4 linked regions of the Notamacropus eugenii genome follow. The protein of the gene in region 4 purifies or fractionates together with the protein of the main gene of each other region. This does not show direct contact. Links are inferred from orthologs where the notes say so. Each region holds a gene or a part of one and is shown on either strand. Other genes may lie near its edges.

Region 1 (7,158 bases), on a different chromosome or scaffold from region 4:
GGGCAAAGAAAAACAGAGATCTAAGGTAAGCAGAAAGAGGAATCACATCAGCTTCAGGTGAGGAGGGGAGTAAGGAGTGTGGGGACAGAATGGAAAGGGAGATATAAGACATACCTGCTCATGGTATCATCCTCATCTGAATCTCCCAGGCTGGTGTTCTCCAGTTCACTAGTTAGTAGAGTAGAGGAGCTCTCATAGCCAGCCAGGTGTCGCTCCAGGCGGGAAGAACCACTAGGCCGATGGCCCCCACCTTAGTAAGATGTATGGATATAGGTGGCTGGACTTCTGCTCCAGGGAGATCCAAAGTCTAGCACCCTATGTCCCTGGTTCTCCCCTGCCCATCTTTCACTGCTCCTATCTCCTTTTGGACCCAGAATGTGCATACTGCACAAACCATGCCTCCTTTTCTCAGAATTTAGGAGTGTGACTGCCCTTACCAACATGATCAATGCTCTCTCTTCTCCTGGACCGCTCCCGTCTCAGTGATATTACTGACTCGGTTTCTGTCTCAGGTTCCAGGTTCTCTCGGCTGCTCGATACATTAGGGCTAGAAAAGGAATGGGGTCAGGGAAAAAGGTAATGATGATGGGATTCCTCCTAAAAGCAATGATGATCAGCCAGCCCCAGAATCTAACTAGAAGCTGATCTTTTCTCTCCCTCCCATCACCAACAAGGCTCCCCAGTACTCACTGGAAGGATGGAGGCCTTGAGTCCCCAATGCCGCTAGTCCTTTCAGGAGGGAGGGGAGGCAGTGGTGGGGGTGGAGATGAGGGTTCTGCCCGAGGTTCAGGGGCTGGGGGAGCATTCTCTGGCTGTGGGTTATCTGAGGACACAAGCTACAGAGGTGGGGAACAGGGATGAAAAAGGACTTTTAGGAAAGGTAAGAACAGGGTAAAAGTTCCGGTGGGGAAATGATTCTAGGAGGGAGGGAGAAGAAGATGGAGATGATAAGGAGAACCTGGAAGGGGACCCAAGATAGAAAAACAAAACCTAGAAACTCAAAGAAAAGAATCTTGAGAGTCACATAGAATGGTAAACTGGGGTTTATGAGACTGAAAAGTTGTTCTGAGGGAAGGGAATAGGAAAAATCTGAAAGCGAGGCAGGGGCAAGAGCAGAGTGGTGAGGAGGCGTTCCTTTTAAGGAAACTGGTGGGGATGCTAATGTGGAAGAATGAGGGTCCCCTCATTCCCCTCAAGCCACCTTACCCAAGAGACCACTCTCCCATTGAAGCAAGGCAATCGGGCATTGTCATCTGAAATCTCTTCCTTCACCACGCTGCAAGGAGATGAGAACAAAGTCAACAGTGCTAGATGAAATAAGGCTGTTTCAAAGGTTCTGCCTTTGAACATTTCAGCCTTCTTTTTGAGCCCCTCCTAATGTGGGGCATTAGGGGGGGTCTTTTAAAGACAGTTAGCATTTCCCCTCCTCACTCCCTCAAGTTAATAACAGCCCAACTCCTCATCTCCCTCTAGGAATCCCCCTACCTAGTAATTCTTCCTACTTACTTCCTTTTCCTTTTCTTTTCAACCTAAGAACCTGGCAGGAGTTTTAAATGTTTCTTGCGTTTACTTGAAACTTCTTAGCTTAACTTTCAAGAGTAACCCCCCCAAGCTCACCCAATCTCCTTAAACTATTTGTCTAACCTTAAGGTCTCTCTACCCCAGTTGGGTAAACATGGTCCCCCTTTCTTTTGCCCCTGCTTTACCTTCTCCAGACATCAAGTCTTTGCAGAGATGTGTCCCCCTTACTTCCCAAATCTACAACTCTTCCTAATTTCCTAATTCTGTTCCAATGGGAGTCTTGACTGATCTCATTTACCCCCAGCTTTCATTCCACTATTACCTACCAGCACTCCTGTCTGAAGCTCTGTCCAGTCAGTGAATGTTTTTCTTTCCCCTTCCCTCTGATCCATGTCTAGAAATCCTCCCAAATATATACCATCTGCACCTGGATTTCTGCATGCGTCTAGGTGAGCACTCTATCAGACTGGCCAAGGGTGAGGGCTGTGTCTCTCCCATCAGGGTGGAAACTACCCTCCCCATTCCACCCCAAACTTCAAAGGAATGACAACTCTCCCTTTTTCCTTTCCCCAGCGCAAGATTTCATAGAATGCAAAGAGACAGACCCACCAATCCTGCAATGCCCAAATTTCCTAGTCTTCCTTCCCTCTGTAGGTCTCTTTGATCCACACCTCCTCCAGGAGATCACACTGACTTTGTCCCCTAACTGCACACCCTCCACCACTGGCCTTTCGGGGCACCTCACTAACAGCCCAGGATTCTCTCCGTCAGGACGAGGAGACACGGCCCAGCACACTCAGTCCCCAGCACTATCCTCGTCATCAGAAGGATGGCTTACCTTCATTTATCACTTTTTGTTTTAAGTGTGACAAAAGCAGTGCCAACCTCGTCACCCAGAAGTCAGTGGGAAGAGCCTGACTGCACGTCTAGAGACCTGGGTTCTAATTCTGGCTCTGACATTGACTATCTGTGTAACTGGGCAAAGCCACTTAACCTCTCAGTGCCTCAGTTTCCACATCTGCAAAATAAGGTTCGGTCTGATTTTCCGACGGTCCAAAGCGGCACGAAGCCTTCTACTTCTCCCCCCGGCCTCCCGAGCGGCATCCACGCCCAGGGCTGCGGCCCCGGGCCCCGCCACGCCTCCCGGCCGCGGCCGGGCCCTGGGCCCCGCGCCCCGCGCTCACCCGAAGTCCTGGTCCATTGACTTGAAGTAGTACTTGGCCCCGGCGGGGCGCTGCAGGACGCTCTTAAAGTCTCCCAGGGTGATGCGCTCGGCCGGGACCGGGATCTTGACCAGGTACGGCGTCTCCTCCTCGTCCAGATGGTAGATCACCTTGGTCTCGCCGGCCCCGCCGAGCCCAGCGGCGCCGCTGCCCGCCATGGTCTGGCCCGCGTCGCCCTCCCCGCCTCCGAGCTCCCCTCTCCTCTCCCCGCTCCCACCAGCCCCGGCCCAGCCGCCGCGGCCGCCGCGCCTGCGCACACGGCCGCTCAGCCCAGCCAGCCATCCCGGGCAGGCTAGGGGAGGGGGAGGGGGCGGAGCCCGGCCCGCTTACACCTCCGAAGTGGACGCCCTCCCGGCGTCCCCTCCCTCCCACCCAGCCCCACGCCACACACTTCCCACTGCCGCCCCCTCACGTGACACGGTACGCCTCACTTCCGGCTCCTCAGCTCCCCTCGGTCACGTGAGGACTCCCCAGCCTCTGCCCACCCACGGTGCTGCCGTCCCTTCCCCCGAAAACTCCCACCCCCTCACTCTTCCCTCATCTTCCCTCTCCCAATCCCCAGCCGGGGCCCGCCCCTAAAATTACCTCCAGCTCTCACCATCGTCCGGGGACCAAGAAAACACCTTCCTTCACAGACCAGCCCTCTTCTTACACCTCTGTCCCCACACATCCTCACCATGCCCCCCAGCCCCGAAGAACAGACACTCACTCGGAGCCGGCTACTGGGAACTTTCTCACTTATGGTCCAAAGGCTTACGTTCGAGTGTCTAAACCAGGAGACCTTAGAGGGCTGGACACGGGCTAGACCTCAGCATTTTGGGGGGAAGAACACGATCGCTTAGCCTTGCTTTCCCTCCTTTTCTCCATCAGATACATATCTTCCAAGAAGGAAAGGACAAGGGTCACAGGGCTATAAACACAAAAGAGCCCACTGTTTTATTTACAAACACGCGGTATGTACAAGCAGCTGGCCAATATTATTAAAACAAAGAAGTGGGGAGATGATGGAAATATCACCTGTCCCCCACAAAAGACAAGAGACCCATGTGTTACGTTCCTTTAGGCCACCTGAGCCAAAAGGTTTTCAGAAGGAAAGAAATGGGGGAAGAGGTTTGAGAAAATAAAAGGCAAGGGTCCAAACAAATGACAGAAGAAAGGGGTGGGCAATGCTATATTACACTAGAGGTATAGACAACTGCCTCACCCCACCCTGATTCCAGCCCTAAGTCTGGGCTGGTGGATATGGGAGTGAGCAGGGTCAACTGGCAGAACAGTGAAGGGATGAAGTAGGGAATCTTAGGAACAGGGGCATCTTCCTGTTCAATGGGTCAAAATTCAAGTCCTAAAGTCTTTAGGGAAAGACCCATTCATTCCCAAGTAAGCCTTCCTTGAGAATCCCCACCCCATCATGGGACAGTGTTCAAATCCCAATGGATCAGTGGCAACATTGGGACCCCGTCTCAGTTGATGATGTCTGTGAAGAGTTCCGACTTGAAGTAAGAAAAGTTTGGATGGGTCCTAGGGCTCTCCAGGCTTGGAGAGACCACCAGACCGCCGGGCCTCTGGCCGCAACTCCTTGCACTTCTGGCAGTAAAATATGTCAGGGACATTGGTCTTCTTAATCTTAGCACATGAAAGATGGATCCATGTTCCACACAAACTGCACTCAATCATGGGCCTCCCTGCAAAGGGCTTCTGGCAATAACAGGTGATCAAGTCCCATGAGTCATCACCTGAGAGAAGGGATGGTTGTGATCAGATTTCTGCTGAAGACTCACAGTCTAGAGAATTTCAAGCATTCCCCCCTCCATCCCAAAGAACCCACTCCCTTCAGGGACAAAAGTGTATGTTCTTCTGTCTTCCCACCCCTACTCCCCAGAGTACTTCCCTCAAACACCCTTCTTACCTGATTCTACCATGATGTCCTCATCCATTACCCGCATTTCACCCTCACTGGAGCTCCCATCCCCATCCTGGCTTGTCTCTGTGCTCCCCACTTCCTTGGCTTCACTCTCAGCAGGGATTCCTCCTGGGGGGGTTGAGGTGAAGGGCCGGGGAGCCTCAGGGGGTGGAGGGAGTGCAGAAGCTGGGGCCTCACCCCCACAACTGCCTGCTACTGCTGTTGTCACTGCTACCATTTCATCTTCCTCCTCCTCCTCCTCCTCTTCCTCTTCTTCAGAGTCTGTGTCACTGGGAAGAGCCCGAGGGGGCCCAGAAGGGGGGGGTCGATCCCCCCTTTCCGGCTTTTTCAACTTTCGTTTCTTACTCTTCTTTATTCTTGACCTCTTCTCACCATCTGCAGGAGCTGATCGAGGTCTCCGAAGCACTCCAAAGCTTCCTCCCCCTCCTGGCCCCAATTTTCGGTTCTTTCGGTCCTTTTTTCGGGAGGGTTGAGGGAGATCCTCCTGGGAAGCAATGACAGGGGTGAGGGTAGTAGGGGGCCGAGGGACATGTGTTGGGGGTGCGGGGACCAGAGGGGGTGCCACTTTGGGTCCATCCAGATCAAAGAGAGAGTCCTTAAGCTTCATCTTCTCAAGCAGTGTAGCATTGTCAGAGGCCTGCAGTCGAGGGAAGGTGGGCCCTGGTGGAGGGGGACCTGCTTGAGCAGCCCTCCTCTTAGAAGATTTAGCCTTTTTGACAAAAGTCTGGATGGTTCGAAGGTCTGAAGGGGCTGAATCCCAGCCATCACTATCTGCAGCACTCTCTCCCCGAAATGGTGAACTAGAGCCAGAGGCTGGCCAGTCACTTTCCTAGGGGTGGGTGGGAAGGGAGGGTTAAGTGTTGGTGCCCCCTTTCAACAAAATTCCAACTCCATTTCCCACACTTGCAAGACACATCAGACTTAACCACAACCGGGTACTACAGCAGTCATCTAATACCCTGGGTCTCTTGCACACAGTTAACTTCTCCAAGCCCAACCAATTCAGATTATCTAACCAACCCACCTACCTCCCTATAAATGCCAACAATTCAGCCCCTAAACTAAGCAGTCTCCAAACATCTCCATGAAGTGTCTTTTGTCACTAGAACCCATATCTCCCCCCCATGATCTATTATCCTAACCGTAATTCTAATAATAATAACCAGACAGTACACAGAACTTTTAAGGTTTGCAAATGGACTTCCTTACAACCTTGTCAAGCAGACAGTTTAAGTGTCATCCCGATTTTATAGATGCTTATGATCATCGATAGCAATTATCTTGGACAGGATTTGAGCCAAGGCCTCATGACACTAAATGCAACCACAGATATCTTCAACCTTACCTCCACAAGATCCCAAGAGTGCCCCCAAGACTCTCAAAAACTTTTCTGGCACACCCAAAATAACAAACAAAACCATCATTCCCCAATTGTCCTAGTTCCCTAACTTGTCCCTTCCTCCTGCAACTGCCTACATTAACTTTATCTCCATTAATTCTAATTCTCTTGAACCCCCATAACTTCTCCATTTTTGATATCCTTTGATTCTCCATCCTATCACATCGCCCAACGCGAAAAAAAAAACCACATTTTTTTCTTCATAGACCTTCTAGATTTATTTCCATAACTACCCTTAAACTCCCCTTTACCCCTTCAATCTCCCTAAATCTTATACAATAGCCTTCCCTCCCTTTGCCCTCACCCAAATCCTTCACATCCCATCCTTAAGATCATTGCCCCTACCTCTTTGCTGGAGGGAATGTAGCCGGCATATGCCAAGACAAAACTGCAAAATTTGTTGAAATCCTCAATTGTTCGCCTTCGTTTTTCAGGGGGCTACAGAAAAAGAAGGAATCAGACACCTGGATTTTCAAAGGGAACAGTGGTCCAAAAGCAAAGTTCCCCTGAAAAGAGGTAGAAGGAGTAGAGATCTGGGGGAATCTTACATGTCTGGTTCCCTAAAGAAAGTTTGGGTTGAAGTAGGAAGGGAAATCTCACCTGGGCCTCTGGCTTCAGGTTTGGAGGAAGATCTGAAAAAATCAATAAAAGCCCTGAGTCAAGGTACTGGAAAAATGTACATGCTTCTTTCCCCAAACGTTGTTACTCTTGAAGGACCCCCCACCTCTCTTTCCTCCCTCCCTTCCCACAGGAGGCATGAGTGATTGTGCTCCCACTTTCTTCCTAGCTAATCTTCCTTGTTCCAGTGCCCAGTCTTCTCAGAGTGCAATGGTTTACATGTGCCCTCCCATGTTGATGTTTCTCCAGGTTCTACTCTACTTCTTTCCACTGTTACCCTTCGTGGTCCCAAGGGCCCCTGGCTCCTCCTTTGCCCTTTATTCTGGGCTCCCATTCCCAATCCCTTTGGTTGGGACACTCCCACACACCATCAGGTCCTGTGCCCCACCACTCTAGTCTCTGGATTCTCTTTTCTGGCCAGTTCATGCAGAATCCCTTGTTCCCACTCCTCAAAGTTCTCAGGTTTAATCTGGCTT
Region 2 (7,903 bases), on a different chromosome or scaffold from region 4:
CCAGAATTTCAAGTGCATAGTCACCGCCCGAATAACAATGGGACTCAAAGCCTCACACTCCAGAAAGAACTCACTTTGGGTTATGACAATTCGCCAAAGGCTGGGGGGGGGGGGGGGGGGGGGAGTAGAAGTGCTGTGCACTGCGATGAGGAAGAGGACAGCTGCAGAACTAATTTGGATTACATTCCTTACAGAAATTCTGAAAAGAGCTTTGAGGAAGAGCTCAACCCCTGAGCCGCACACTTAATACCAAATTGCTGTAGACTCCGAGGCGGTCCCCATGGCTGAGGCTGAACCAGACAAACCCCCACTAGGCTGCCTCATAGAAATTCCTATCAGCTAAGCATATATGTCAGCCTCAAGTGCTTTTGAATGGGTCAACCTGCATAATCAACTCATTGAGGAAAATATGGAGAGGATCGTGGGACGAAGACGAAAGGCCAGTGGCCAGGAGGCTGCCTTGAAATCTGCAAGCCGCACTGGGGTGATTCCGAGGCTGATCTGAAGGCAGGCTTTGGCAGTACTTAACACAGCATATAAAAGGCAAAGACCAGGAATTCTAGTATCATTTTTAAAGCCCCAGTGATGATAACTGGGTGTTTGCTTGAAGAAGAGGGAAGGAGAAGGCTGGAGTGGAGAGGAGAGGGAGGAGAGATAGCTGGCGTAGGGAGTAAGAAAACTAAGCGGCGTCTTTTCTGCTTAAGGTCACAAGGACACCATAGGCGTCCCTAAAGCATTCTCCTTAACCCCTCCCCTTCTTCCTACCCCTGAAGCTTTATCTTGTCAGCCAGCCTCCCACGCTACATCAAGTATCTCTGGTGTGATCACTTGCTGCCAGATCAGGAAACAGCACCGGCTGTCCAAATGGCACCCTCTGGCCATCTCAGACATCTCTCTTTCCTTTTGGCTACACTCAGTCCCCTGATCAGCCATCTCCTCGTTCCCATTCCTATCATCTGGGAAGCTCAAGTGTCAGAAACTTTTAGCTCACTCGCACGACACGTCCTGTCAAAGACCCTGCCACTAAGCTCTCCCCCGACCCCTCCTCCTTTTCTGTTCAGTTACATTCGTGCGTCCTGCTACCTGAGGCTAAGCAGCCCAGCCAACAGCTAGCGCACCGTGGTGCCCGATTCGCCTCGGATTAGAAAGGATCAAGTGATGGGCGAGCTATCCGACCAGCCCCAATTCTAACAGGGAAGTTTGAGGGACCCTGGCCAATAGTAGACACTAGCAGGAGGAACTCTGATGGGCGTCTAACCTCACAGAGTGCGGCTGTTATTCTCGTGAATAAAGTTTGCCAAGCCCTTTGGCTGCTAGACCCTCTACCAGACACTCTCTCGACCCTACCGGGGGCTGTTAAAGAAAAGGGATCTAGATGGATTGTGAGTTTTAAGAGATCAGCTTCTGGTCAAAACAGGAAAGCGGGTGGTGTTAAGAAAACGATGCTTTTCTGGTAGCAGCTGTATGCTGTGACTGTCTCCGGACTATGTCTGAAATCTTGGCTATGTCAACACTCGGGTGACTTGTGTCAGAGCCCTATTCCTGCTTCTCTCCCCCACGCAGGTACAAAAGCGCACACGGACATAGACACATGAGGCGCTTTGGAATCAAAAGGCCAGGAGCTCCACAGAAGGAGCAAGGCAATGATCGATCCTTTTTCTTTTTCGCGCCGCGGAACAGCCAAAAAGTCCTATTTACTCCGTCTCTTTTCTTTCGGGGACGGAGGGGTGGAGAGGCAGGAGAGGTGGAAAAAAAGGGGAATTGTCTGCGCTGATTGGGATTTTCCGTGTGCGTCTTCTACGTCTTAGACAAGCAGGCTGAAAGAACTAAGCCTTCTGCTAACCCACAGAGCGAAAAAGAAGAGACTGGGGTGGGGGGGGGGGGAGGTGAGGGAGAGAGACGGAGGAGAAAGGGGTTACATAGTGATTTCCACGCACGCACTAGAAGGAGAGCAAAACCAAGCAAGTTGGAGGTGGAAATGATGCAGGGGGCGGCGATGAAACAAATTCGGATCAGCTTCTCCGAGACTGGAAACGATCTATCAATAGAGGCGGGAAGTGGGAGGGAGGGGAGACCACAAACACAAATCATCCAGACAGCAGCAGGTTCCACAGCTGGAGGGAGAGCGATAGAAAGCAGAGACTGCGACCCACCTGACTGAGAAGCTCCGGGCTGGGGGGTCCAGGCTACCACGAGAAGGCTCACACAGACCCACAGTCTCGAAGCCAGCTTCATTTTTTGGAAGTCTCAAATCCTTTGCCGACAATTACATGTCCAAATCGCATATCCCCTTATTGTATCCCTCAGATGGATGTGGATGGGCGAGAGTGGGTACTGGGAAGAGAGAAAGAGAGGTGCACAGTGTATTTGTGTGTGTGTGTGTGTGTGTGTGTGTGTATCTGTGCGCGCCGGCTATTCCAGGAATGGAGGTGAATGAGGGTGCGCGTGTTGTGTGTCAGCGCTGCTGCCGGTCCCAGTTGAGGTCCAACTGTGAGTAGATTTCCCCCAGTGATCGTCCTCTGTCTTGCACTCGCTCCTTCGGGTTGGTCAACAATAAAAAGAGAGAAGAAAAAAAGTTGCTCTCACCAAGGTGGTAGATTTCCTGCTTTTCGCTCTCTTGCAAGCACTGCTCTCTCCTCCTTTGGTGCTCCCTGTGCACACCCCCGGTGTGAGTCGGGGGAGGCTGGAGGAGAGCCCCTGGCGTCTCCCACGGCTCCGGCCGTCCCCTCCTCACCCCCGCTCCGGGCTCCTCAGACTTGTCCAGCGGCTGTAGGAGTTAAAGCCTCCGAGCGTCGATTCCAGCGCTCCCCCTTCTTTCGCAGAGGCAGCGGCCGCAGCGGTAACAGCAGCTTGGAGAAATTAGCAAGACTCCAAAAAAAAAAAAAAAAATGGAAGCGGGATTGGGGAGAGGGGAGTATGGGAGGGGGGGGCGTTGTGAGAAAGGAAAACCCTCCACGGAACGAGGGACTGAGAGACAGACACAGCTTGGTGGCTTAAACCCCGCCTCTGCTCTGACCCAGCTAGCCACACCCCTTCTCCCATTCCACCCCCCCTCCCCAAATCTAAAATCTCATTGGCTCAGCCACTCCCCAAAATCCTGAGCCTCCAGAGTTGGGAGAACACCTGTCAGGAGAATGAAAGGGGTGGCGTGGGCGGGGGAGGGGAGCTGGTCTTAAAGGGCTAGTGCCAACTGTGAGGTTAAGACACTCCTCTTCCCGCCCCCCGCTTCTCCACCCCCCCGTCGCCCCCCCCCGCCCCAGCCAGAGTCCCAGGACAGCTGGCAGGCAGTGCTGGGCAGTATGCCCAGAGGGGGTGCTTAGATGGGGAAAAGGCCCCGATTGCCCCCATGGTGGTCTGAAGGGACGCTGCCTTGCCTCTCCCTCTTCCCCAGAAAGAGAAACAAGGCCAAAGCTCAAAAGCAGACTGCAAAAAGGGATTCTCAGAAGGAAAAAAAAATAAGTTGTGTCTCCCCCTTCCTCAACTTCACTCCGCTCAAAAATAATAATAATTCAAGGGCTAGCACACATAGCCCTCTTTCCAAAGAGGTGAGACCAAGAGAAAGGAGTCTTGGCAGAATAAAAAAGTCTTGCTTACAAGAAAGGGAAAAAATCCTCCTCCTCTCACACTGGCGAGTCCTTCTCTATCATTTAACCATGGCTCCGAGGCTCCGGAAAGGAGCAAGCTGTGAGCTAGAACCATAGCTCTGACCACAATCCAAGAGAACAATGCCAGGTATCACTTGCTAATATCCAGTCATCATCCTTTTATCCTTCACACTCCCAGAGAGCAGGCCTCCGCCCCTAGAAACTTTTCCACATTGAGTTCTGGCTGAAGAACTGAGATAGAGGCATAAATGCAGCCAATTCAAGGAAATTATTCTGGGACAGTGAGAAGATCTCATCTACTCCAACTAGGGAAATAACTATGGCAGAATGGGAAGGGTATTTTTCAGGCAAAAAAAGAAAAATGGAGTTATCTCCTGGCTTGGCCATTAGATAACTTTATGACCTTGGATAAGTCACTTAGCTACTCTTAGTTTTGACCTCCTGGTCTATAAAATGAGGGAACTGGGCCAGCCCTGAAATTTTATGAATCTTTTAACTTTATAGATCCACTTTCCGTGGCTCGCTATGCCAATTTGAAGGTAATCCAGAGTGTGATTTCAAGTCCAGAGAGTGCCTTTCAATCCCAAATGGTAGTCAGCCTACATCACTCATGTCTTCAAGTAATTTGGTCAATACAGAATTGAGTCTCACACATATCCAATGACTCATCCAAAAGATCCATTTGCACAAGAAGCCCATCTTGGAAATAAACTAACTACCAAGGTCCACTCCAGGATCAACCTAATTCCTCAAGGGTCCTTTATTTATTGTGGTAGTGAATTCAATCAGTGGCCAGTACTTGACCCCACATGAGCTGGGTCAACCTGACTCTCAAGTTTGAAAGGTGATATGGTGATATTTGTACAATTATCCCTGAGATAAAAATATTTTCACTGTTGGTTTTCCTTGAAAGTAACAGCAGCGAGAAGCAAGAACTGCTGGAGTCAACACCACCATGCCCCCCCCCCCCCCCTGCCAACTCCGTTTCTTATTTCACCTGAAGTACTTCCCCTTTCTTTCCTAGGCTTTGTCACTTAAGAACATCAGCAGAGGCTTGGGTCAAATAAATATGGAATAAATACCCCAGAGACCCTTTATAGAGCTGGAAGATTTTACTGCCTTGCGTGTACAAGTGGCAGTACTTTGGAAGGGGGATTGCTGTGTTGTTGTGTTGTTGTTGCTGCTGCTACTGTTAGTTTCTGAGTCAACCTCCGATCCCCAGGACTTTAAATGAATACAGCTTGAGAGAGATGAAAGGGACCCTGGTAAACCGGCACAGGTAAAGCAACCTCTCAGACTGGATATTAGATAGGAGCAATCAGAGGCACTGATTGCAATGGGACTGTGTAAGCTGCCTTTTCGGCTGTCATTTTTGTTCCAATTTTTGTCTGCCCCTCTCTTCTTTTTTTTTTTTTCAGCTACTTTCTTCTCTTCCAACATTCTTTCCTCTTTTGATGAATAATAATAAGTAACAATATCAAGTCACATTCCCATAGTGATTTATTTATGCCTTACAAAGTCAAGTTTTGAACCTCACTGCAGCCCAATGAGATATTAGTGCAGTCACTGTCACCCTGATTTTACAGATGAAACCAAGGTTCTGCCAAGATATGTGACTTGTTCAAGTAGATGGGGCTTGTGGGTAGCAGGGCTGGGATTCGAAACCATTTGTGAATCCAGAATTTGATGCTCTTCTAGCATACCACAGCTGCCTCAAAAAAATTGCTTGTTTCTATAGTTCTTTGAAGATTATAAAACACTTTCATCACAACATCTTAAGAAAATATTATCATTCTCTTTTTTAAAAAATGAGGAAACTGAGATTCAGGGAGGTTAATTGACTTTTCCACAGTAACACAAAGAGTCCCAAAGTCAAGACATCTAATGCTAAGTGCAGGATTCTTTTGGGGCAAGGTGCTGAACCTCTCTGGGTCTCAGTTTCCTCACCTGTAAATGGGGATAATAATAGTACCTACCTCACAGGGTTTTTGTGGACTTCAGAAGAACTGACATGCTTTTCACTTTGCAAATCTTAAAAGCACTACAGAAATGCTACTTGTTGTCTCCGTTTTTTATTATTCTTATTACACCACACTAGCTCACGTAGACTGGGTCTTTAAGCTTTACAATCTGTACTACATTAGCCTTTAATTATATTCAGTCCTGTATTGTTATCTAATCATTTCAGTTTTATTCTGATTCCTACTCTCCAGTTTGGAAATTTCTGAGTAGTACAAACTATATCCTATACATTTTTTACTTCTTTTGAAGACTCTAGAGCAGCCATAACATATAGATGTTCAGTTCTTATTTGCTGATTAAAAATCTTGTCCATCTTCCTGTGTACATAGGTACAATGGTCTTGGGGTGATATAGAAGAAAAGCAAGGCAGAGTTCATGCAGGTCACTTTCCAGCCCTGAAGTTCGTGGTGATGGAAACTGGGGACAAAACCCTCCCCCTACTGGAGGAAGGTGAAATTGGTACTCATGTCTTGGTGAGGAGAAAGTGGAGAGAAAAATGACCCAATAATCCTTTCCCAAGTTGTTTCTTCCTCTCTGATGTCATGTATCAGACATGACTGTTCTCAAGTTTTCCTGTTTCTCCTAACCTAAGTGATAATCCTCAGAGATGACTTTGTACTAGATTCATTTGTTCATTGAAATGTATTGAGTGCATTGTTGTTTTTCAGTCATTCAGTCAAGTACAGCTCTCCATGACCTGGTGGACCATATTATCTGTGGGATTTTCTTGGCAAGGATATTGAAGTGGTTTGCCATTTCCGTCTCCCATATTAAGTGTGTACCACATGTAAGTCACTGTGCCTGGGTTAAAAGAGATTCAAAGATGAATAAGACAAAACCCCTAACCCTAAGAAATTTATAACATAATAGGAAATGATAAGACATATACATATATGTATACATGTACGTATATGTGTGTATGTTATACTCAAATAAATACAATACAAAGTAGAGACAGATAAAATATAAAAGAGATTCAAAATGCTCTAAGAGATACCAGTAGAAGAAGTTCTACCTACATGGTAGGGTATCAGGAAAGGACTCTTGGAGAAAGTGACATTTAAACTGGACTTTGAAGTGTTGGTAAAATGTCAATAGGCAAAAATGGAAGGGAAAACATTCCAAGTTAGGAGATAGTGGGGGTCATGGAACGATAGCTTGAAAACACAGGACACAAGCTGAAAAATCCAATTTAGCTAGAGAATAGATTATGGGAAAGGGAGTGGTAAATGATATGGCAGGAGAAGTAAATTGGATTCAGACAAAGGGGAGGGGGGTCTTGGATGCCAGGATAAAGAGTTAGAGCTTTATTTTTTAGGTACTGGGTAGCCATTAAAATTTTTAGTAGGGGAGTGATATGATCATAGCTATTCATTAAAAAGAGTCATCAGGTGCAGAGTGAAGCAAGCAGAACCAAGAAAATAATTTATATCATTTCATTAACATTGTAAAATCAAACAATACTTAAAACCTCTGATCACCACAATGATCACTCTTGCTTTCAGAAAATGGATGATGAAAAATGCATCCTACCTCCTTACAGAAAAGAGATGGACTAAAAATATGTAGAGTGAGATACATGTTTTTGGACATGGCCTATATGGGAATTTTTTCATTATGCTTACTTGTTACAAAGGTTTTATTTTTATCTTTTTCCAAGTGGGGATGGTGGTAGGAGAGGAAAAAAAAAGACATTTTTGACAATTGAAAAAATTAATTTAAAAATTTATCCAGAAATAATTATTTATTTTGGTTGTTGTTGAGTTGTTACAGTCATGTCTGACTGTGTGACCGCATTTGGGGTTTTCTTGCAAAGATGCTGGAATGGTTTGCCATTTCCTTCTCCAGCTCATTTTACAGATGAGAAAACTGAAGCAAACAGGGCCAAGTGACTTGCCCAGGGTCATACAGCTTGTAAGTGTCTGAGGCCAGATTTGAATTCAGGAAGAGGAATCTTCCTGACTCCAGGACTGGCACTCTATCCTCATTCTGGACCCCCAAGTAAGTGGAGAGTGATATATAATAGAAACAGAAAGGTAGTTTGGGGCATAGTTATAAAAGTCTTTAAGTCACAAACAGAGGAGTTTATTACCAAGGGACAATAAGGAGCCACTAGAATTTATTGAAAAGGAAGTAACATGGTCAGATCTAGGCTTAAAAAAATGTCTTTGGCAGCTCTGTGTTTTGGGAAGAGAATGAAGGGAAAAAAATCAATTAGGAGACTACTGCAATAGTCCAGCCAACAGGGGATGAAGACCTGAAGTAACATGGCAGTC
Region 3 (7,365 bases), on a different chromosome or scaffold from region 4:
ATCTGCATTCATAAAAGGAAAGCAACTTTCAACGGGTTAACAATCACTTTAATCAAGCACAGGAATCAGAGAAAATCAAAATTTCAGAGAAAATACAGAGAAATCAAAAGTCAACAGACATGCTTCCAAAATGTCTGACCATTACATGCTTACATGACCAAAGAGGGAAGCATCAACTTCTGGGTTATAGCAGTGGTTGGGGGTGGGGTGGTAGTGTCCTTAGCAGCCTCCCAGAGTCTCTCTGGCCAAAGAAACACTTCCACTCAGTAAGCTCCAGAGTAAAACCTCATTCCGAGTATTTATACACTTTTTAGAGTCAGAGGGCGTAACCCCAAGTGCCTCAACAGAAAAAAAACCCCAAAAGGTATTTGGGACCAACCTACAAAACAACTCCCCTAATCAAGCTTCCCGCAATGGACAGGCCCATCAAAGGGTGGGAAAGATCCTCCTTACCATTATTCAATCATTGGCACTTTTAATAAAATAAAAACAGCAAAAGATCCCATTTTACTTGCCATTACAGACTTAAAAGTCAAAAGAAATCTGGGTTCAAATACTGTTATGGAAAAATCACTTCACCTCCCCAAGTCTCAGTTTCCTCATCTGTAAAGTGGGGACAATACACCTGTAGCACCTACCTCACAGCATTATGAGGACCCAAAGGGATCATTTAGATAAACCACTTTGAAAACTTTAAGGCGCTAAATAAAGAGCAGGTTCTGTTATTTAACTTACATCATGAAGTTGGTAAATCGCAAAATACATCTTTCAGAAAACTTGAGAATATAAAAAAATGGAGGCTATAGAAAATGCCAAGGATGGTTAATTGAAATTACAGTAATTATGTGACTAGCAAAAGAAACCCAGATAATTTATGCAAATTTCAATGTGTTGGCAAGTGACTTATGGCAGCAATAGGTGACTAAATTTGCCTATAAGGAACCTTTGGGATTGCTTAGAAAGTTGAGTGGGAGGGATGGGACAGGTGGAGAATGCAGCAGTCTGCCAAATCAGACTGTGCAAGCCAGGGAATTCTTCCTTGAATTCTCTCCCCTTGCTTTTGGATATGCCCAAGTTTCCTCCATCTTAACAACAAAACAAAACAAAGCAAGCCTTGCTTAATGTTTCTGCTTCCTTCAGTTACTGTATGTATTATTTCTTTCCCTTCTTTTTCTGATGAACTCCACACTTCAATTCCTCCTTAAGCCCTGGTAAACTGGGTTTTTAAAACAGATTTATTGAGTGAACCAACCAACTTTTTGCCAAATCTACTGATCTATTTTTAGGCTTTTGTCTCCGTGACTCCCCTGCAGTATCTAATACTATGTGGTATATGAAGTGCGCTGGAAATAACAATGAATTTGGATTTAAAAGACCTAGGTTGGAAAGTTAGCTCTGTTACTACTTCTACGACCTTGAGCAAGTAGTTTAATGTTCTGGGCCTCAGTTTTTTTCATCAAGCTTCCCGCAATGGACAGGCCCATCAATGGGTGGGAAAGATCCTCCTTACCATTATTCAATCATTGGCACTTTTAATAAAATAAAAACAGCAAAAGATCCCATAATCCTTAAGAGATCTTCTAGCTCTAAATACTAGGATAACTCCCTTCTTCTCTAAACCCTTTCTTCCTTAAGATTCTGTTTCCCTAAATCATCCAAGTCTAATCACTTTTCCATCAGTTTCTCTTTTCTATCCTATCTCCTACCATCTCTTCTGACCGACGTCTTCAGAAAGCATGGTCTCTAATCTTCAATCTCTCCCTATCTATTAGCATATTCCCAGCTGCCTACAAATACCTGAAGTTATCTCCCAGTCTTTAAAAAACCTTCATCTGACTCTACCATCCCTTCAAGCTATCTTCCTTTATCTCTTCTCTTTCACCAAATTCTTTCTTGTTACCATTTTCTCTCCCCCCATTCACTTGTCAACTCCATCTCCTAACTTACTTATTGAGGATAGCACTATTTCCTTATTTAAAAATTGTTCCATTTAATAAAAATGTGTTATAAAATGTAGGTTCTGAAAAAAAAAGTCATAAATCCTTCAAGAAGCAGATTTAAAGTGAGCCAGATATTTATTGAAGTGATTAAAGGAAAACCTAAAGGTACTTAAAAAAAACTGACTTTTATACAAACTTGAACTTTTATACAAACTTGAACACAGTTAATAAGTGTCTGAGGCCATACTGGAACTCAGGAAGATGAATCTTCTTGACTCCGGCCTGGCACTTCATTCACTTCTTCTAGCTGCTTAATTGATGGTGCCTAACTGCATGGCACACTTAGTAACAAACAGCCTTCCAACTCAAACTCATAAATAGACATAACCATAAAATGACAGCACACGTCATATTGTTGCTAGCACCACCATTCTCCCAGTTACCTGGGTCTGCATTTTTTGCATCATTTTGCTAACTGGCTTTAGGATCACAGATTATAGAATTTGGAATGGAAAGAGAACAGAGATAAGTTATTCTTGTCTATGGTCTTTCCTCCAATCCACTCTGCCTCCTGCTACCCAGACAATCTCCCTAAAACTTCTTTTTCTTCATGCCACCCTCTTGAACATATACCAGTTCTTTAATTTCTCTGGGCAGCTGCCTGGCACAGTAGATAGAGCACTGGGCCTAGACTCTGGAAGACTCATCCTCCAGAGTTCAAATCTGGCTTCAGACATTTAGTAGCTGTGTGACCCTGGGCAAGTCACTTCACCTTGTTTCCTCAGTTTCCTCATCTGTAAAATGAGCTGGAGGAGGAAATGACCAACCACTCTATTTTGCCTAGAAAACACTCAAATGGGGTGACAAAGAGTTGGACATAACTGAAATGACTCAACAACAACAAAAATGCCTCTGACATAAAATCTAAACTCAAGACTGTTCTCAGTCTAACTCTACGCCCTACCTGTCCAACCTTTCTTTAACTACTCCTCAAAACTCTTTGCTCTGGCCAGATACAATTTGACCCTGCCTACAAACGTGCTGCCTTGTTTCATAGCCCTTGGTCACGCTATTTCCACAGCCATTTCAATCCAACACCAATCCAACTTTTAGATCTCAATTAAAGCCTCTTTTCTTTTAGGAGGCCTGAGGCTTCTAGTCTCCAAAGTTATATAGCCAACACTTATCTGCACTCTGTTTGCCCTATCACTCAGCTCTCACAGTCTTTTAGTTTTTTCTTTTCATGCTTTCTTATTTCTTTCAGTTTGATTGCAAGGAGCTGGAGGCGAGATTTCTCCCTTATCTGCCTTGGATCTTTGCTATGGAATCCAGTGATGAAAGACTGAAATTTGTGGTTCCCAAATCCTCAAAGTCTGACCTGGCAAGCAACACGACCAATGCCTTAGGAATCATTGGATCACATATCCAGAACTGGGAGGAACCTCCTTAGTGATCCCGTCCAACTCACTCACATTTAGGGATGAACTAAGACCCTGGGGGTTTTAGTGACTTTCCTAATGTTACATTGTAAATGGTGGCATCTTAATCTGAACCTATGTCTTCGGACTACAAACCCAGTAGCCTTTGCACTGTATTGTATTACCAGGCGCATAAACAGCACGCTATGTTTCCAAAAACCTTACTCCAATGAGAGCTATGGATTCCAATATCTAAATCGGAGAAAAGGAATATTTGTGTCCTCAGGGACAGCTCCCATATGAACTACACACCTGTCCATCTCCATACTCCTAATATCTGCTTTTGTTTTCTTTCTTCTGCTGCATTCGCCCCATTCACCGGTGGGGTCTCGAGATATGTGTATTCCGTCGCTCACAACAGGAGGAAAGGTGGGGGGAGAGGTCGGGAAGTATGACCTCCCCGGTATAACCAAGAGAGGAGTGATGCTGAGGAATCCTTGCCGCTCCCTATTCCATCTGCCTCCTCGGTTCATTTCGTTCTTGCGCTGGGAGGGGGGTTCTCCTGCCCTCCTGAGGCCCACTCTTCCTGGCACTTGAGGGGGCTGCTTTACCCATCCATTGGCTCACCTACCCGGCCCTTCTCCAAGTAGTTCCCGCCATCTCCCTTCCGGGACCTTCCCCCTCTTGTCTCCCCCAGCTCGGGCCTCCTTCACCTTGGCCCTGGCCGTCTGGAGATTCCGCCGGTCCCCTCCAACCTTCCCTGTCCCCAGGTCCGGGGCGCAGAGTGCGCTCGGTGCGCAGGGTGCTCGGTGAGGGAGACGGCCTCCCCGTACCCCATCCCAGCCTCGCCCCGGGAGGGAGTGTCTGGGTAGCCCCGAGCTCTCCGAGCACGGCATGCCCACGGTGCGGGCTCCGGCCTCGCGCGCTCGGGGCGCGCCCACATTTGCCTCCGCTGTCCATCGTGCCAGCCGGCTCCCCGGCTTCAGCTCGCGGGAGGGGGGAGAAAGAGCGAGCGGGCCGGCTCTCCGCCTCCTCCCTGCACTGTGCACGCCCACTGCGTGTGTGTGTGTGTGTGTGCGTGTGTGTGTGTGTGTGTGTGTGTGTGTGTGTGTGCAAGAGCCAGCGCACGCACAGACACACACACACACACACACACACACACACACACACACACACACACACACACACACACACACACACACACACACACACACACGCACGCGCGCTCGCGGGGCGGGGAAGCCTGGCTCTGCCAGGAGAGCGGAGCCGCGTCGGTCACTCCCAGGACTTCGCTCCGTTCCCCGGCTCTCCTTGGGCTCCGGCTCCCGAGGGCGGCGCGCCCGGAGGCACGCAGGCGGCTCCCAGGCTTGCTCCCACCCACCGTCCCTCCCCTCCGGGGACAGGATGAGGGGGCTCGTTCCGCGGACTGCTCGCCAGCGTTTCTGAAGCCGGAGGAGGACCAGGGGGAGAGCCGCACGCCCTTTCTCTGCCCGCCGGGACCGGAGCGGAGAAGGAGCCATGAAGCCGGCTCCGTGGAGGATCCTCCTCTCGCTGCTGCTGTGGCTCCTGCTGGAGGTAGGCACTGGGGACCGGGGCTGCCCGATCACCTTCGCAGATGTGTCCTGGAAACGCAAACAATAACCCAGAAAGGAGCGGTGGCGTGGCAAGTTCGGGGACCGGCTGCCTGCCTCGCGATCGCCCGGGACAAGCCCACCTCGAGGACACCGGGGCGTTGGTTTGGAAACCGGGGCTCACCGGAGGCACCGATATCTAGATGCACAAATGCCAGCCGCTGAATAGCCTAGCTTAGAGTCACTGCTGAGACACCCTGGAAAGGGGGTCTGCCGTGCCTGACCCTTTCCCCGACTCCTCTCTCCTCCCTTGTAGCCAGCTACCTCTTGGCTGGACATGCTGCTTTATTTGGGTTTGTCCTCTCCAGTGCGGAGGAATCAGGAACCTTTTGGAAAGGAAAATCTGTCTGGAGGTAGCCTGGAAATGAGTATGTTGAGCTGGGAAGGTGGATAGGGAAAGGCCTTATCTTACCTAGGGACTGTAGGGGAAGAACTACTATCTCCCCAGAGGCATCCTGGGGAGCAAATCTGTGGATAAGGTTATTAGGAAGTCCTCCTATTGAAAGTGACGTGCCCTGAATTTCGTTTGGTCTCGGTGCGGTCGGTTCACCTTGGGCTCCTGTGGAGCAGGTGTACAGTTAGAGAATTTCAGAGGGATTCTGCTAACCTATCTCCGACGAAAGTAAGAGGGGAAAACTCCCCCCCACTAAGCAACCCTGCATACTTCTTAAAAAGGAGAGCTGCCAGTTTGAGAACGTGGCCAGAAACCGGCACAGAAATAGAAGAAAGGCTTGTTGCTGTGTGGAAATTGACTCACTTAAGTAGTGAACATATTGAGCCACGTTCCCTTTCTTGGAACGGATTGAGGTTGTAAGCTTCCTAGCTAAATCTGATAAGGCCTGCGCACAGATTGAGGTTAGGGCTGGCTTGGAAGTTGGATCCCTGTTTGGACACCTGCCCATTTGTTGATGGAGTGTGTTCTCTAAAGTGGGCAGGAGCCAGAACGCGGTGGGGATGGAGTGGCTGAATTAACTTTGTTCTCGGCATCAGTCATTTCAGATGAAGCAATAGTTAACATCTAAACTCAAACAGGATGGGAAAGGAGGGGCACCCTAACTCTTACTGTATTCTGAACGGTAAAGCCCTTGGGGAAGATTGTGGAAACTTTCCTTCTTTTTGCGAGGGTCTGAGTTCGTTCTGCAAAGGACTAGTTTTTCCCCTCCTTTCTCCCTCATAAAATAATAATATTTTTGTATTTTGAGAGCAAATCTTAGTTCTCATAAAAAGACTAGTCCATCTGGTTTAAACCAGGCAGGTTGCCATAAAAGTTTCTCCCACAAAGCTCTGACAATATGCTCCTACTTCGTTCTTATCAAAGACTTCCCTGTTTTGTTTTGTTTTGGGTAGAAAAATGCCTTCCTGGTGTATTTTTTTTAATCTGTGTGTGTGTGTGTGTGTGTGCGCGCGCGTGCGCACGCACGCCTGAGTGCATGCTTAGTGTTGTCTGGTTGTTTAAGATTTGAAAACCTAGAAAGCTTATAGCTTCAGTGAATTTACAGGTGACTTTAACCAAGAAGAAAAAGGAGACGCAATTGTTTACATGAAACTTTATTGTATGTATGTGTTAATGCATCCATGCATATGTTGCATTTTAGGCCTTGGGTGAATTAATCTAGCATTATTTTTACTTTGAGTCTACCCATTAGCTCCTTCCAAGGGAAGTTATACCACTACTACCACAGTCTTTCTTATCAGGAATACAGTACTTTTGCAAAGTATTTTTATTGGTGGGAAATACACCAGAGCCGTCTCTGAAAGGAATGATAGAACTAGCTCTAGGGCAAAGCAGTACAATGATAGTACCCTCCAAATAAGAAAGGCTGGCAAACAAAACCCAACATCTGGTTCTTTGGGAACTTCTGGAAGATTGAATTTTTGGCCCTATCCTGGATGATGGTGGATTGTTGTGTTGACAGCTTGTAATTGATGGTAATACAAACTCCTCAGCTTGGCATTTAAAGTCCTTCACAATCTGGCTCCTCTTTACCTTTCCAGACTTATTTTCTATCACTCCCCTTCATGTACTCTGTGTTCCAGCCAAACTGCACAGCTAATTGTTGACTCCTGTCTTCTGACCCTAGGCCTTAGTGTTGCCTGCCCTTAGAGTCTAGAATGCGCCTCTCTCCTCATTCTTAGAATTTCTAGCTTCCTTTAAGACTCTGCTCAGGTGCTGGGTCATAATGGAAGCCTTTCTAGATTTCCCCTTAGAGGATGTTGATCTTTGTTTTCCTGAAGTGTTCTCATAGACACATATCTGCTTCCATATTGTGTCCCTTAGTAGAATGGAAGACCTTTGAGGTTAGGGACTTAAAAACAGTGTAAAGTAACAGTCTTTATCCTGGAATCCCCAGTACCTAGTGGCATATTTTGCAAATA
Region 4 (7,016 bases):
TTGACTTAAGAGTCTTAGCTCTGCCATTTTCTAACCATGTGACCTTGGGGAAGTCATTTCCTCTCTCTGTGCTAAAAAAGGGGGTTGGATTAGATCCTTCTCTCCTAATGGTTGTATGATTCTATGGTGTTATGTGACAGTATGACAATGTGTGTGACACTTTGGCTGGCCTCATACACTCCTTTAAGGCCACTTCTAAATGATCTTTGTATCTCTTCCAAGAGTTTTACACAAAGTGCATAGAGCAGTGGGCCCGAGTTCAAGTATGGCCTCAGACACTTACTAGCTGAGTGACCCCGGACAAGTCACTTAACTACTCTATACCTCAGTTTCCTCATCACTAAAATGAGAATAATAAATGCTTGCAGTCTCAGCTCCGCAGAATTGTTGGGAGGCTCAAATTAGACAATTTATCAAAGTGGGATAGAAACGTGAATTAATTTCAGGGTGAAGGAATATGACAGCTGTGAGAATGCACATCACATAGAGTTGTGTCTAAGTCTGTATTTACAGGGGAAGGGAGGAAGTTTCTGTAGGTGAGCCCTGAATGAGAATGTATCAGTGACAGAGACGGTGTAAGCTGTATTACCAAATCACAGACTTGGAGAGGACTTTGTGCTATGCCTTAAGTATGTGTGTGCCTGTAAGAGCAGCTGCAGAGGTAGGTCCACAAGTGCGCGCAAGTGCACACACAGGTGTGTGCACATCTGAGTGACTGTAAGTGCACGGGTGCCTGGTCACAAGTGTGTGTATATCTGAGTGAATGTAAGTGCACGGGTGTCTGGGCACAGGTGTGTGCACATCTGAGTGAATGTTAAGTGTATGGGTGTCTGTGCACAAGTGTACATGTGAGTGAATGTAAGTGCACAGGTGCCTGGTCACAAGTGTACATCTGAGTGAATGTAAGTGCACGGGTGTCTGGGCACAGGTGTGTGTACATCTGAGTGAATGTAAGTGCATGGGTGCCTGTGCACAAGTGTACATCTGAGTGAAAGTAAGTGCACAGGTGCCTGCGTACAGATGTGTGTACACTGGAGTGAATGTAAGTGCACAGGTGCCTGGGCACAAGTGTGTGTACATCTGAGTGAATGTAAGTGCACGGGTGCCTGCGCACAGGTGTGTGTACACTGGAGTGAATGTAAGTGCACAGGTGCCTGGGCACAAGTGTGTGTACATCTGAGTGAATGTAAGTGCACGGGTGCCTGCGCACAGGTATGCGCACATCTGAGTGAATGTAAGTGCATGGGTACCTGTGCACAAGTGTACATCTGAGTGAATGTAAGTGCATGGGTGCCTGCGCACAGGTATGCGCACATCTGAGTGCATGTAAGTGCACCGGTGCCTGGGCACAAGTGTGTGTACACTGGAGTGAATGTAAGTGCACGGGTGCCTGCGCACAGGTATGCGCACATCTGAGTGAATGTAAGTGCATGGGTACCTGTGCACAAGTGTACATCTGAGTGAAGGTAAGTGCACCGGTGCCTGCGCACAGGTGTCTGGGCACATCTGAGCCAACGTAAGAGCAGCCGCGCAGGCATGGGCACGAGGGGCTCCTGGGCTCCCGCGCGCAGGGCTGTGTAAAGGTGGGAGGGGGAGAGAGCGTCAGTGCGCGGGGGGCAGGGGCTCCCGCGGCACGCGTGGGCCCAGGGGCACCGGCGTCCGGGGAGGGGGAGAGGCGGAGCGGGGCCGGGACAGACGGGGAGGGTGGGTCTGCAGGGGCAGGCGGACGGTGCGGCGCGAGGACCGGAGGGCTGAGGTCGGGCGGGGGCGGCAGCCCGGCCCCGCCAGCCCCTTACTTGGCGAAGTACACCCAGCCGTCCTTGGTGGTCCTCTCCTCCCAGCCCGGGGGCAGCTCGTCCTCACTGTCAGTGTCGTCCAGACCCGCGTAGCGCAACGCAGCCATGGTGGGGGAGAGCGCAGCGCCGCCTCGCCCGGGCACTGGAACACCAGCGGGCAAACCCCCCGCACGACGCTGGCTCGGCTCCGCTCGGCTCCGCTCGGCTCTGCTCGCCGGCGCGCCACCCGCCGCTCCCCTCACCCTCCTGCGCTCCCGCGCTCCGATCTCCCGGCTTCCCTCGGAGCCGGTCCACCCGCTTCGCGGCCAGTGGGCATGCGCAGCGCTGCGCCTCCGGTCCGGGCCCAGCGGAGCGACGTCGGGCTGTGGGGGGCGGCGAGTCAGGAAGAGGCCGGAGGAGGAGAGAGCGGCGAAAGAAGGACAGTAACCATACGGAATTACAAAGGAGATTTTATTTGCCCCATTCCACTCTCCCCTCTTCTACCTGGCTAAAACTCCTGAGGGCTACAACTAGAAGCTATTCTCGCAGAGGAGGAATTAGAACGAATACGTCACCACGATAGCGCGGTCCTGGCGCGTTGCTGCACGCCTGGCGCGAAGCGCCTGCTGGGAAATGTAGTTCCGGGCGCACCCCGAAGGGACGCTGGAGGCTGCCTCAGGCTTCCCACTTCCTCCCCCAAACTCACCAGTTCTTTAGAGTCCAGGCATGCGGAGCCTGCTGTGGGGAAGCCTTTTACAACCTACTCTTCAGCAGTATACTATGAACCCTTTATACTTTGGAGATCGGCAGAAGCTGCGTATCAGAGCCTGATTTAGCTTGTTGACTGTCCAGACTCGAAAAAATAATTTTAATTAAATTTAATATAAATTAATAAAATGTGTTAATAATGCAGATTAAACTTAAAAAGTGCGTTGTGAGTACATTTTTCCCCAGAGCTAATTGTTAAACACTTACCATTTATGCTGCTGAATGAATTCACTGAAAAGATGAGAAAACAAGTTCAAAAAGGGAAATGAAGTTGCCCAATTTACAAGAAAAATAAGTGTTAACTAGGAAACCTCGCCCTTCACTCACACATGTCCACTGTGCCCCAGTGCCCTCTTTGCCTCACCCCACCCCATCCTGCAGACTTCAAGGAAGAGACCCTCTTTTGGTACTCAGAATGGCAACTCATATTTATATAGTATGTTAAGGAATGCAGAAAGATAAAGTGTTTTCTACACATTCAACTCAAACAGTCAGCAAACGTTTATTAAGCCCTAGCTATGTACCAGGTACAAAGAAAAGGAAAAAAAGGTAACCAGCCCCAGAATTTAAGGAGCTCACATTTTAGCAAGAGATCTTGCGAACTGTGGGCATACAAAGGTCATCCTGAAAGTAATCCCAGAGGAAAGGTCCTGGCATCAAGAAGTTCTGGGACTCCCTCTTTCCAGAGCCTTGAGGATAACGGCTCTAGGATGCAAAAATTTGTTCTGGAAAGGGCAGAAGACCAGAACCACAGCGTTGCTCCAGAGGCAGAAGCATGCTGGGTCCTCAACAGTCCAGCAACAGTACTAGGAAAGATCTCTGCAGGAGGGGTAGGACGTGTGACTGACCTTGAAAAACAGCTCAAACTCGCAAGCCCATGGTCCCAGAGTCTAGGAGACACAAACTGCGGAAACCAACCCTGTAGCACTACAGCTAGTGCTGGGCCACAGACCTAAGGAACAGGAGAGGGACAGCATCCCATTATAAGAAGCTTTGAATGTGGGAGGAAACTCTGTGTAGTACTCCACTAAGCCTGAAAGAGATTGCATCTGAATGGGGTCAGTTCTGCCCACCTAAAACTAAGGGCATAGACATAGGCTGGTGAACTGTGATTTGCCCCAGGTGGAAAGAGACTAATCTGCTTTGAGATCCAGCCCCGGAAGAAATCACAATTGGAGGAGAAGGAACTGAAGAATGATAAGGAAAATAAATGAGAGTTGGAGGGAGGAGAGACTGCAAGTACTAAAGGTCTTTGGACTAGGAAGATGATAAATAAGCAGATAAGCCAAGTGGGAAAACATTTACAGAAGACAGACTCAAAAGGAAACCTAACGTTGAAATCCTAAATAATGCATGGATCAAAGAACAAATCATAAAAACAATAATTATTAAAGAAATTATAAGAAATATTATTTTTTATAATTATTTTATTAATTGTAATTAATTATAATTATAAAGAAAATATAATGAAATAACATAACAAAATTTCAGTGATATAGCTAAAGCAATCCTAACGGGAAGGGGAAGATCTCATTCTACAAATATATATTAACTAAATAGAAAAAGAAAAAATAATACACTTAATATGTATTTTTTAAAATTGAAAAGCCAACAAATAAATAAGCTGAAATGTGCACAAAAGAGGAGATATTAAAAATTACAGGAGAAATAAATTAGAAACAAAAAACCCATAGAAACAGTAAATAGAACTAAAAACTGATGCTTTGAATATGTATATATACATATATATGGACACATAAATATATGTATAAATCTCAAAAACACAAAAAAAGAAATCTCACAAAAAAAAGAATGATCTGAGCATATCATACACAGCTATATGCTAACAAAACTGGAAACAAAAGAAAGAGAGGAATGCCTTTGAACATATAAAATGTGCATACTATCAGAAAACCAGATACAGATGTTAAATAACTTAATTTTAGAAAAGGAAACAAATGTAGCTATAAAGAGAAAAGCAAAAAAAATTCTTGGTTCTGATACTCAGAATTCTATTAAAACTTTAAAGAACAATTAATACTCAAACTAGGCAAATTATTCTGAAAATTGAAAGAGAAAAAAAATCTACCAGAATCCTTTTATGAGAAAACTTAATCCTAATTCCTAAAGCAGGAAAACTATAAGTCAACATCATTAAAGAATATTGACCCAAAAATTTCGACCAAATTCTATCAAACAGACTATAACAATGTATCCAAGAAATCATTCATTATGATCAAATGGGAATTATACCAGGGATGCAAGAATGAAATATTTAACATTAAGAAAACAATAAACATAATTGTATCAAAAACAAAACATCCAATATCACATGATCATCTTAATAGATGCAGAAAAAAGCACATCTTAAAAGCATCTTTAACAATGCACATCTCTCTTTTATGCTAAAAAGCCTACAAAGCATAGGCAATGAGGGATTTTTTTTTAAATCATAAAAAGCATCTACCTAAAACCAAAAGCAAGCATAATATGTGTCAACCTGAAAGTTTGGTTAAAGAGGCAAACAAGCTAGATGATATGTAAATTCATATTGTTTATTCCCTTAAAGTTAGCAGATACATGCTTCAGGGAGCCAAAACATAAGTTCTGACTGTCTGGAATAAGAATGACTAGGCTTAAACACATTTTAGAACAATCCCCATATATGATTAACCAAATTATGAGAAAGGAATTTTCTTAATTGAATAGGTGGTAAATACAATAAGATAAAAGAGTTGACAAAACATCAATTGAAATTATGACCCAGGATATCTGTGGTTTTTTTACTATTAACATGCCATAACATAGTATATGTCCACAAAATATTAAGATACAGAAAAAGTCCCATTTTTCAAGATAGTGTCTCAGATTAAGGGTCTCATCCTTAAGCAGAGGAAAATGCTCTTAAGTCAGCCCCATCTGGCCTTGTTGACATAGGAAAAGGTAGTTTCTGAGTTTACTTCAGAAAACAAAGAGGTTGTCAGGTCCAAAATCTTCTTCTGGTTGATAAATTCAGACTCTGGCCCTTATTGAGGTTATTAAATTGATATTAAATGATTATCAGATGCAATGGAGATACATTAGAACCTTTTTCAAAAAATAAGGGAGGGAAGCAAAGATACTCACTTTTTCCACTATTATTTGATATAGTGCTAGAAATGCTAGCAAAGCAAAAAAAGACAAGAAAAAATTAAAGACAAAGATAGATAATGAGGAGATAAAATGATCCCAATTTACTAATGTTATGATGTTATACTTGGAAAATCCAAAAAAAGATACTGAGACAATAGCTTCAGCAGAAAAGGAAAAGGACCTGTTCACATGAAAATATTTATATCAGCTCCTTTTGTGAGGGCAAAGAAGTGGAAATTGAGGGGATGCCCATCAATTGGAGAATGGCTAAATAAGTTGTGGTATATGATTATGAGAAAACGTTTATTGTGCTATAAGAAATGACCAGCAGAATGGCTTCAAAAAAACCCTGAAAAGTGGTATTTAACTGAGGCAAAATGAAGTAAGCAGAACCAAGAGAACATTGTACACAGTAACACAATATTGTTATGGTGATCAATTGTGAAAGACTCAGCTACTCTGATAAAAACAAATGATCCAAAGCAGTTACAAAGAACCGATGAAGAAATGTGCTATGCTCTACCAGAGAGAAAACCGATGAACTGTAAGTATAGATTGAAGCATACTTTTTTATTTGATTTTTCTTGGGGGTTTTGTGTGTTTCTTTTGCAACATAAGTGATATCAAAATATGGTTTTCATGACTTCACAGGTATAATTGTTATCAAATTCCTTACCTTCTCCAGGGGTAGGGAAAGGGCAGAAGGGAGGGAGAGAATTTAGAAGTCAAATTTTTAAAAAATTAATACTAAAAGCATTTAATGTAATTGGGAAAATAAATCCTCAAAAATCAATAGCATTTCTACATAATAATAGCAAGACAGAAGAAGCAGTAATAGAAAGGGAAATTCCATCTTGAATAACTACAAAATGCATAAAATATCTGGGAATAAACCTACCAAAGCACATAAAAGATTTGTAGAGCTTCAAATAGAAAGTCTACTTAAAATAAGAAAAACCAGCTTAAACAGCTAGTGGAATATTTATGGCTTATGACTAGGCAATGCCAATATAATAAAAATGACAATACTATCAAAGTTAATTTACATTTTAATGCTATACCAAGTGGATTGCCAAGATGATAATTTTTTTAGAACTTTGATAAACAAATTTGTTTGTGAAAACAAAAGATATGAAATATCCAGGGAAATGATGAAAAGAGGGTGATATTAAGGGGGAATCAAACTTCTAGACCTCAACCTGTATTATAAAGCAGCAGTCATCAAACCGATGTAGTACTAGTTAAAATATATATATGTATGTATATATATATATGTATCAATGGAACAGAGTAGACAATGGAGAGTAAGAAACAATAGTCCTCAATAACCTGGTTGTGATA

Evidence for each region.
Region 1: the proteins of WWOX (region 4) and DVL2 purify together in Homo sapiens (affinity purification with mass spectrometry; 4 studies listed by BioGRID and IntAct, counting the BioPlex papers as one, with this or other methods). This does not show direct contact. The link is inferred for Notamacropus eugenii from reciprocal best matches to the Homo sapiens genes WWOX and DVL2.
Region 2: the proteins of WWOX (region 4) and ERBB4 purify together in Homo sapiens (affinity purification with western blotting; 4 studies listed by BioGRID). This does not show direct contact. The link is inferred for Notamacropus eugenii from reciprocal best matches to the Homo sapiens genes WWOX and ERBB4.
Region 3: the proteins of WWOX (region 4) and VOPP1 purify together in Homo sapiens (affinity purification with mass spectrometry; 3 studies listed by BioGRID and IntAct, with this or other methods). This does not show direct contact. The link is inferred for Notamacropus eugenii from reciprocal best matches to the Homo sapiens genes WWOX and VOPP1.

Annotation. Positions count from the first base shown.
Region 1 is NC_092873.1:78,832,401-78,839,558, reverse strand, and holds the start of DVL2 (segment polarity protein dishevelled homolog DVL-2), read right to left. Parts: upstream 3,007-7,158; 5' UTR 2,903-3,006; coding exon 2,706-2,902; intron 1,277-2,705; coding exon 1,207-1,276; intron 837-1,206; coding exon 691-836; intron 548-690; coding exon 438-547; intron 251-437; coding exon 115-250; intron 1-114. Other genes in the region: PHF23 (PHD finger protein 23), read right to left, coding at 4,263-4,477, 4,651-5,494, 6,410-6,502, 6,665-6,696.
Region 2 is NC_092877.1:310,178,193-310,186,095, forward strand, and holds the start of ERBB4 (receptor tyrosine-protein kinase erbB-4), read right to left. Parts: upstream 3,019-7,903; 5' UTR 2,236-3,018; coding exon 2,154-2,235; intron 1-2,153. UniProt on the Homo sapiens protein: Tyrosine-protein kinase that plays an essential role as cell surface receptor for neuregulins and EGF family members and regulates development of the heart, the central nervous system and the mammary gland, gene transcription, cell proliferation, differentiation, migration and apoptosis.
Region 3 is NC_092874.1:420,883,276-420,890,640, reverse strand, and holds the start of VOPP1 (WW domain binding protein VOPP1), read left to right. Parts: upstream 1-4,345; 5' UTR 4,346-4,876; coding exon 4,877-4,933; intron 4,934-7,365. UniProt on the Homo sapiens protein: Increases the transcriptional activity of NFKB1 by facilitating its nuclear translocation, DNA-binding and associated apoptotic response, when overexpressed. May sequester WWOX in lysosomal vesicles and thereby regulate WWOX role as tumor suppressor.
Region 4 is NC_092872.1:678,302,731-678,309,746, forward strand, and holds the start of WWOX (WW domain-containing oxidoreductase), read right to left. Parts: upstream 3,011-7,016; 5' UTR 1,904-3,010; coding exon 1,797-1,903; intron 1-1,796. UniProt on the Homo sapiens protein: Putative oxidoreductase. Acts as a tumor suppressor and plays a role in apoptosis. Required for normal bone development. May function synergistically with p53/TP53 to control genotoxic stress-induced cell death.